Tribolium castaneum: one gene and its partner. Each later gene encodes a partner of the first gene's protein in a complex. Links are inferred from orthologs where the notes say so. Each region holds a gene or a part of one and is shown in the gene's direction. Other genes may lie near its edges.

Region 1 (4,292 bases):
CCGTCCTTCTCCAACCTCCCGATAATCTCCTCAACAGAACCCGCCGAAAAGCAATTATTAATTTGCTTCATCATGGGTTCAAGGCTAAACTCGCTATTGTCTTTAGTGCTGTATTTACTCAAAGTGCTATCAATGCTCCTACTGTCCCCACATTTCAATAAATCGCCCTCCAAAGCCTCCAAACATTGACTATCGACGTAATGGGTCGCTATCCCAGCTTTGAGGAGGTCGACCCCTTTGAGGCGGTACCCCGTCAGGGCTAGAAACAGCCCCAGTTTGCCCCTTAACCGCGGGAGGAAGTAGGAGCCCCCAACGTCGGGGAAGAGCCCGATTTGCGTCTCCGGCATCGCAAAGACCGAGCGTTCGGTGGCCACGCGATAAGGGCCATGGACTGAGAGCCCCACGCCGCCCCCCATGACAATCCCGTCAATAAATGCAATGTACGGGACTTTGTAAGTACCAATAAGTCCGTCAGTTTTGTACTCTTGTTTAAAAAAGGCATGGCCCAGTTTTTCCCCCTTCATACCAGCCAAGGCTATGGATTTAACGTCGCCCCCGGCGCAAAAGGCCTTGCCCCCAGCCCCCTTGATAATGACAAGGCTCTTCTCGCTCTCCCATTGCACCAAAGTGGGGTACAATTTATTTACCATTGAGAGGTTTAACGCATTAAGGGCCTTGGGTCGATTCAAAGTTATCACCCCTTTATCTCCCACGTTATCAAAGATTACGTCATCGGCAACACTTGACATTTTTCGCAAGACGGTGGGGCTCAAGACGAACAAGTTCTTGCACAAGTTTGAGGTTAAGATGAAGCTTTTCTGCAACTGCAAGTAAGGGGTCAAGGAGCGATAATTATACAGTGCTGGAGTCCCATTACCATTTTGTATTGGTGCTACACTGAAGGTTTTCAAAAACACCAGACAAGGTCAAAGTTCACAAAGCACAAAATTACAATTTTCAAGCAATTTATAGGCAAGAAGACACTGATTAGGGAATCACATGTTATTATTAAGCCAAACTGTGGCGAAATTACTGATAACGAAGCGACTTGGCTCGAATTTTAAAATTTAAAAACCTGTCAAATTTTGAAAATTATTTTCAAACACAATTCGCCAGGGAAACAACAAATCACAGGTGTGAGGACAAAAGTATTGCGACAAAACCTGTTATTTTCTACCTTTGAGACAAGTTGTAATTGGGCCACTATGTATATTAGGCACCTCACAAAAAGCACAATTTCCGCGTTGTCAGCTCTTCGCTTCAATTGCAATGATAAAAACCAACATTCACTCACCTAATTTAAGTAATTTTTGCAATTGTAGTACGGATTAGCGATAATATTAAAAAAAAAAAACGGTTTAGGCAACCAACAATACGCCAACTGACAGTTGAGGTTAAGTCACGTCGCTGACAGCTTCCACTTTTAAAGTTTTATAATTAGTGCTGAAGTAAACAATCTAGTGGACGCTTTGGGCTGTTACAATGGGCGGCAAGCACAAGCCCGCCCAAAGAATCAAGAACAATGCGAGGGTAAGTGCCCCAGCAGCCCCCTCTCGAATGACACCTGGTCCTGCAGCCTTCCAGCAGTGGGCGCAGCGCCGAGTTGCTGGCGTCCTCCTCACAAGTGCCCCAATTCGCCGCAGTTAAGGAGATCCGGTTTGTGCCCCCGACCCTGTCTTTGCTCAAAACGGAGGAATTTGACTCGTCCGTGTCGCCAGCGTTTCAGATCGTATTCAAGAAAATGAACAAAAAGGACTGCACCACTAAATTAAAAGTAGCGTAAAGAGTGAGATTTGGGTGCTTAATTGAGTGGTTTAGGCCTTGCAGGAGTTTTGCGACCTAATCGCGAGTTCCGAGGCGGAGGCTGTTAAGACGATCTTGGCGTTTTGGGCCACGCTGTATAGCATTTTGGCCACCGACACGGATCATAGGGTGCGGGAGGCGGTGCACAACGCCCACCATCAAATCATTTTGAAGGATAAAAAAATGATAGCCCCCTTTTTGAAACAGTTGATAGGGCCCTGGTTCACCTCACAGTATGATAATTATCCGCCGGCGGCCACGGCCGCGTCTAAAGCTTTCAACGTAATGATTTCTCAATTTCTTTTCAAATTTCTGAATTAAATTTTAGGCCGCGTTTCCGCAAAACAAGGTCCAGGATTGTGTGGTGTTTTGCCAAAAGGAAATCTTGACGTACATTTACGATAATTTGACTTCGAAAATTGAATCTAATCCTAAACATGGCACAAATGAGGATGCTGAAGCGAAATTTGAGAGAATCATTATTTCGAGTCTTCAAGGCTACTGCCTCTATTTGAATACACTGACTCAGGAACAGATCGAGAAAAGTGAGGATTTGAACAAGCAAATTATAAGTAATTCAAGGTTTCTTAAATTGGCAACGCATAAAACGGCACAAATTCGGGCCACTTGGTTCAAAGCCGTTGCGATTTTGTACCAAAAAGCCCCATTTTTGTTAGAAGAGGAACATAAGAATTTTGTTCCGGTTGTTTTCAATAATTTGGATGAGAGTGAACCCCCTGTTGTGGGTTCTGTGTGGGATGCGGCTTTGCTCATTATGGATTTAGGACAGGTATGGATTTTATCACAGCTTCCTTTTTTTCTGGACTTAAAAAATGTAATAATTTGAATTGGGTAGTAATAAAGTGATCAGTAATAAATCGATTTTGATCAGTAAAAAATAATAAATAATCAGTATTTAATTCATTTTTGCAGTAAAAAAATAGTATATGCACAGTATCTAGTTTCAGTTTGCACAGTTTAAATAATAAACGCTCAGTAGCTAGCTTGCAGACTGGGGCTTCGCCCTAGCGACCTAAGAGCAAACATACCCCTCCAACGTTTAAACTCGAAAATGTAAATCTCGAAATGTGAAATTCTACACTCTTTAGTTTTGAGATGCCATTACTTACTGTGCATTTATTATTTTTACTCCGCATTTATCATTTTTACTGTGCATTTACTGTTTTTACTGTTCATTTATTATTTTACTCTGCAATTATTATTTTTACTGTGCATCACTTTTACTGTGCATTTATTATTTTAATTTTGCATCTATCATTTTTACTGTGCATTTATTATTTTTACTTTGCATCTATCACTTCAACTGTGCATTTATTATGTATACTGTGCATTTACTACTTTTACTGTGCATCTATCATTTTTACTGTGCATTTATTATTTTAACTTTGCATCTATCATTTTTACTGTGCATTTATTATTTTAATTTTGCATCTATCATTTTTACTGTGCATTTATTATTTTTACTTTGCATCTATCACTTCTACTGTGCATTTATTATGTTTACTGTGCATTTACTACTTTTACTGTGCATCTATCATTTTTACTGTGCATTTATTATTTTAACTTTGCATCTATCATTTTTACTGTGCATTTATTATTTTAACTTTGCATCTATCATTTTTACTAATCATTTATTATTTTAATTTTGCATCTATCATTTTTACTGTGCATTTATTTTTACTTTGCATCTATCATTTTTACTGTGCATTTACTATTTTAACTTTGCATCTATCATTTTTACTGTGCATTTATCATTTTTACTTTGCATCTATTATTTTTACTGTGCATTTATTATTTTCACTGTGCAATTATTATGTTTACTGTGCATTTACTACTTTTACTATGCATTTAATATTTTCACTGTGCTTTTATTATTTTTATTTTGCATCTATCATTTTTACTGTGCATTTATCATTTTTACTTTGCATATATCACTTTTATTATTTTTACTTTGCATCTATTATTTTTTCTGTGCATTTATTATTTTTACTGTGCATTTATTACTTTTACTATGCATTTAATATTTTCACTGTGCTTTTATTAATTTTATTTTGCATCTATCATTTTTACTGTGCATTTATTATTTTAACTGTGTATTTATTATTTTTACTGTGCATTTACTACTTTTATTATGCATTTACTATTTTTACTGTGCATTTATTATTTTTACTGTGCATTTACTGTTTTTACTGTTCATTTATTATTTTACTGTGCATTTATTATTTTTACTTTGCATCTATCACTTTTATTATTTTTACTTTGCATCTATTATTTTTACTGTGCATTTATTATTTTAACTTTGCATCTATCATTTTTAATGTGCATTTATTATGTTTACTAAGCATTTACTATTTTTACTATGCATTTAATATTTTCACTGTGCATTTATTACTTTTACTATGCATTTAATATTTTCACTGTGCTTTTATTAATTTTATTTTGCATCTATCATTTTTACTGTGCATTTA
Region 2 (4,399 bases), on another chromosome or scaffold:
TTCATGTTCTCAGCTTTGCCGGATCAGATGATCAAGTAATGATGGGTTTCAGTTCATATTCGGTATTGAATTTTTTTATTTTGCATTTTTTTAATAACACCAAACATAAATATTTAATTCCAAAACGTAGGTCACATTCAGTCGAAATCTCGAAAAGTCTTATTATAATATGTGAGGTCAATGAAATCTTTTAATATACATAAAGCAAAAACCAACGAAATAGCAGTTCGACTTCTTGAAAAACCTATTTATACCAAAGGTATAATCAATTCTAAGCTATTTTTAACTTGATGTTCGGAAAGAAATAAAATTTGTACGAATCAATCTTGGTCCGTGGCCAACTGAGGAAATAAATTTTATTTATCGTATGTTTTAGCAGCTGTGAGACAGAAGTAAATTTTCCTTTCTACCAACCCCACTTAAGCACCAGTTTTTTTAATCATTCATAATTTCCGTGTTGCCAGAAAAAATTTCATTGCGATTTTTCCTCACAATGAAAATTTTAATTCCCAAGATAATGTAAACAATAAACTGAGCCGAGATCATAAAAAACGAATGAATCAAAATTTAAAAGTTTGGCTACAAAGGGGATTAAACAAATAATCCAGTCGGGGAAAGGGATGAAAATTGCCCTTCTAGAGATAATTGTTTTTTAAAAACCTGGTTTTTGAATCACGCAGATTGACATATTTTATTTCTAATACAAAAATATTGTCTGGATAGCTATTGAATTTTATTATTTCGTTCTGTAATTGCGAGCATAATTTTTATCTTTTTGGTGACGAATACGCCCTTTTGAACCCCACTGTGTTCGCATGCATAAATCGACAATCATAATTTTTCTAAACCCTCCCCCATTTACCTAAATGGGGCAAAATGTGTGCCAAATCTCGAGGGCAATGTAAACCACTAAACAAACCCCATCCCTAGGTGTGTGCTATAAAAAACGAAAAACAACTGCACCCACTCCCATCGCAATTTATTATTTTTTTCACTTAAAAAATATAATTTTGAAAAAAATTACCGTTTCTTTTCAAAAAAACTGTTCTTTGAATTAATAGGAGTGCAAAAAACCCCGTGTTAATTCAGCAAATGTCAATGCCGCCCTTAAAAATACAGGGGTTGCGAAAATTCCACTTACTCGTTGAAGTAAAATTTAATTCCTGCATTGTTACTAATCCTTACAGCGGGGAAACATTCATTTCGGTAGAGAAAATAATCACGAAAAAATTAATACACGAACATTTTAAAGAGAGCTTGCACACACCAACACTCAACTAAACAGAACAGAACTAACAACTCGAGGGTCTGACGAGAACTGGAACTGGAAATGAAAAAATCAAGCAAGCGAAAGCTAGGGGTGCTGCGACCACAGCGCCAAACAAACGAAAACGAGTCGATAAACCAGGAACCTGCCCTCAAATAACCGGAATAAATGTTACAATAAAAACTAAAACAGTTTGGCACTTCTTCAAATCGTTTTTTAATAATAATACTGGTCCCAAATTCGTGTTACATAACAAATTACACAAGTGGGCATAACTTTACCCAGTGACGGGTGGCGCTAGCGTTGTCCCACCTGCCAGACGTCAAACCCAGCTGAGTGTTTTTATTTTTTTGTGCACCAGGTGTAATAAAATTACACAACGTGGTCAAATTTTGTTCCGCTGGAAGCAACAAAAAATAAAAACTTGCCGTTTTCAAAATGAAAACTCGGTTCAACACCTTCGATATTATTTGCACCGTCACAGAACTCCAAAAGTATTTTTCTGTAAGATTGTTCTTTTGGCACTTATTTCTAATTTGCAGATGTGTCGGAATGCGAGTGAACAACGTCTACGATATTGACAATAAGACTTACCTGATAAGACTCCAAAGAAGTGAAGAAAAAGCGGTAATTCTGCTAGAATCAGGCAATAGGTTTCACGAAACCGGCTTTGAATGGCCCAAAAATGTCGCCCCTTCGGGGTTCAGCATGAAATTAAGAAAGCACTTGAAAAATAAACGCTTGGAGAGTTTGGCTCAACTGGGCACAGACAGAATTGTCGATTTCCAATTTGGTTCAGGCGAAGCTGCGTATCATGTTATTCTAGAGCTGTACGATAAAGGCAATATCATCTTGACTGATTTCGAATTCACGATATTAAATGTCCTGCGACCGCATACTGAAGGCGACAGGTTTAAGTTTGTGGTCAGGGAAAAGTACCCTCAGGATAGGGCTAGGCAGAGCAGTTTAATCACAAGAGATGAGCTGGTTCAACTTTTAAAGGCTGCGAAAAACGGAGATCAATTGAAAAAAGTGCTCGTTCCGAATTTAGGTGAAAATTGGCGATTTTTACGATTTTTTATTAACTTTTATATCTAGAATATGGCCCTCCTCTCATCGAGCATGTGTTACTTAAACAAGGTTTTTCAAATAGCACCAAAATCGGAAAAACATTTAATATCGAAAGTGATGTCGATAAGGTTCTCTGCGCTCTTGAAGAAGCCGAAAATCTTTTCTCAGAGGCCAAAAAAACGGGTTTTAAGGTAATATGGCCTCACAGTCTTTTATACAAATTTTTATATTTTTTTATAATCAGGGTTACATAATTCAAAAAAAGGAAGAAAGGGTAGTGAGTGCTGATAACTCTGAGAAAGAATATTATTACTCAAATCAGGAATTTCATCCAGTTCTGTACGAACAACATAAATCGTCAATTTCCAAAGAATTTCCCTCGTTTAACTCAGCCGTTGATGAGTTTTTCTCATCTTTGGAAAGCCAAAAACTTGAATTGAAAGCTTTACAACAAGAACGGGAAGCTCTGAAGAAATTAGAAAATGTGAAGAAGGATCACAGTCAGAGATTACTTGCTCTAGAAAAAACACAAGAAATTGACAAACAGAAAGCTGAGCTCATTACGAGAAATCAGGAGCTTGTTGATAAGGCTATTCTGGCGGTCCAGACGGCTTTAGCCACTCAGGTAAATTAAACTTAAGTCATTGGTTAAATTAGTTTTTACTGATTTATTTATAGATTTCGTGGTCTGACTTGGCCGATTTGATCAAAGAAGCTGCCTCACAAGGCGACGAAATCGCCCAGCGTATCAAAGAATTAAAGCTGGAAACTAACCACATTAGCCTGTATCTTACTGACCCTTACGCTGAAGATGATAGTGAGTCAGACGACGAAGATAATGACGATAAAATACCACCCATGGTGGTAGATGTGGACTTGGATTTATCGGCTTTTGCTAACGGGAGACGATATTATGACCAAAAGCGAAATGCGGCTAAAAAACAACAAAAAACAATAGAATCGCAAAGCAAAGCGTTCAAGTCAGCTGAAAAGAAAACCAAACAAACTTTGAAAGACGTAAGATATTGCTATCACAGGGTGACATTGTTAATTGTTTTTTTAGGTCCAAACAATCACAAATATTAATAAAGCTCGTAAAGTGTACTGGTTTGAGAAATTCTTCTGGTTTATAAGCTCGGAAAATTACTTGGTTATAGCTGGGCGAGACCAGCAACAAAACGAGTTGATTGTCAAACGCTACATGAAATCGACCGATGTCTATGTGCATGCTGATGTCCATGGTGCTAGTAGTGTTGTTATAAAAAACCCTTCAGGTCAAGCAGTGCCGCCTAAAACCTTGAACGAGGCTGGAACTATGGCTATTTGTTACAGGTTAGTCAGTGTAACTTATTAAAAGTTTTGCTATTTTTTTTATAATTTTTTAGTGTTGCTTGGGACGCAAAAGTCGTAACTAACGCCTACTGGGTCTGGGGGGAGCAAGTCAGTAAGACAGCTCCAACCGGAGAGTATTTAAGTACCGGTAGTTTCATGATTAGGGGCAAGAAAAATTTCCTCCCCCTATCACACTTGATCCTAGGTCTAAGCTTTTTGTTTAAATTGGAAGAAAGTTGCATTGAGAAACACAAGGATGAAAGAAGAGTCATAGCGCCAGGCGAAGAAGATTTTGTAGAAACTGTTGAGAGCGAGAATAAGGATGAGGTGGAAGTTGAGGTGCTTGATGAAAGCGATGAGGAAAACAAGGAGGAAGTGAAAAGTGCAGCAGATAAGGAAATTGAAAATGAAGAAAACAGTAGCTCCTCCGAGGATGAGGAAAGTTCAAAATTTCCCGACACTCAAATCAAGATCCAACATTTTGAAGGAACGAAGTTTGTAGTGTGACCCGAGGCGTTTGCCGAGTGGTTTAACGTTTGACTTTTTAGAATCAACATTTTGACAGAGCCTGTGATAAGAAATGATGAAACGGATGAGAACGAAACTGTTGTGTATTTAGGAGATAATAAACCGGTTGTGGTTAAACCGAATCAAAGGTCGAGAAATACCAGTGAATCGAAAACCAAACAACCGAAAAATGATGCGAAAAGTAGTTTTTGGTTTTTTATG

The links.
Region 2: Ltn1 (region 1) and Clbn share a complex: the UniProt entries of both Drosophila melanogaster proteins name them as parts of the ribosome quality control complex. The link is inferred for Tribolium castaneum from reciprocal best matches to the Drosophila melanogaster genes Ltn1 and Clbn.

Annotation. Positions count from the first base shown.
Region 1 is NC_087400.1:8,607,234-8,611,525, forward strand, and holds the start of Ltn1 (E3 ubiquitin-protein ligase listerin), read left to right. Parts: upstream 1-1,389; 5' UTR 1,390-1,482; coding exon 1,483-1,530; intron 1,531-1,576; coding exon 1,577-1,774; intron 1,775-1,818; coding exon 1,819-2,085; intron 2,086-2,131; coding exon 2,132-2,593; intron 2,594-4,292. Other genes in the region: Hibch (3-hydroxyisobutyryl-CoA hydrolase, mitochondrial), read right to left, coding at 1-824, 878-880. UniProt on the Drosophila melanogaster protein: E3 ubiquitin-protein ligase component of the ribosome quality control complex (RQC), a ribosome-associated complex that mediates ubiquitination and extraction of incompletely synthesized nascent chains for proteasomal degradation.
Region 2 is NC_087396.1:12,784,917-12,789,315, forward strand, and holds the start of Clbn (ribosome quality control complex subunit NEMF homolog), read left to right. Parts: upstream 1-1,549; 5' UTR 1,550-1,705; coding exon 1,706-1,761; intron 1,762-1,809; coding exon 1,810-2,318; intron 2,319-2,365; coding exon 2,366-2,529; intron 2,530-2,582; coding exon 2,583-2,963; intron 2,964-3,016; coding exon 3,017-3,355; intron 3,356-3,401; coding exon 3,402-3,670; intron 3,671-3,723; coding exon 3,724-4,164; intron 4,165-4,218; coding exon 4,219-4,379; intron 4,380-4,399. Other genes in the region: Myo81F (myosin-I heavy chain), read right to left, coding at 1,142-1,169. UniProt on the Drosophila melanogaster protein: Key component of the ribosome quality control complex (RQC), a ribosome-associated complex that mediates the extraction of incompletely synthesized nascent chains from stalled ribosomes as well as their ubiquitin-mediated proteasomal degradation.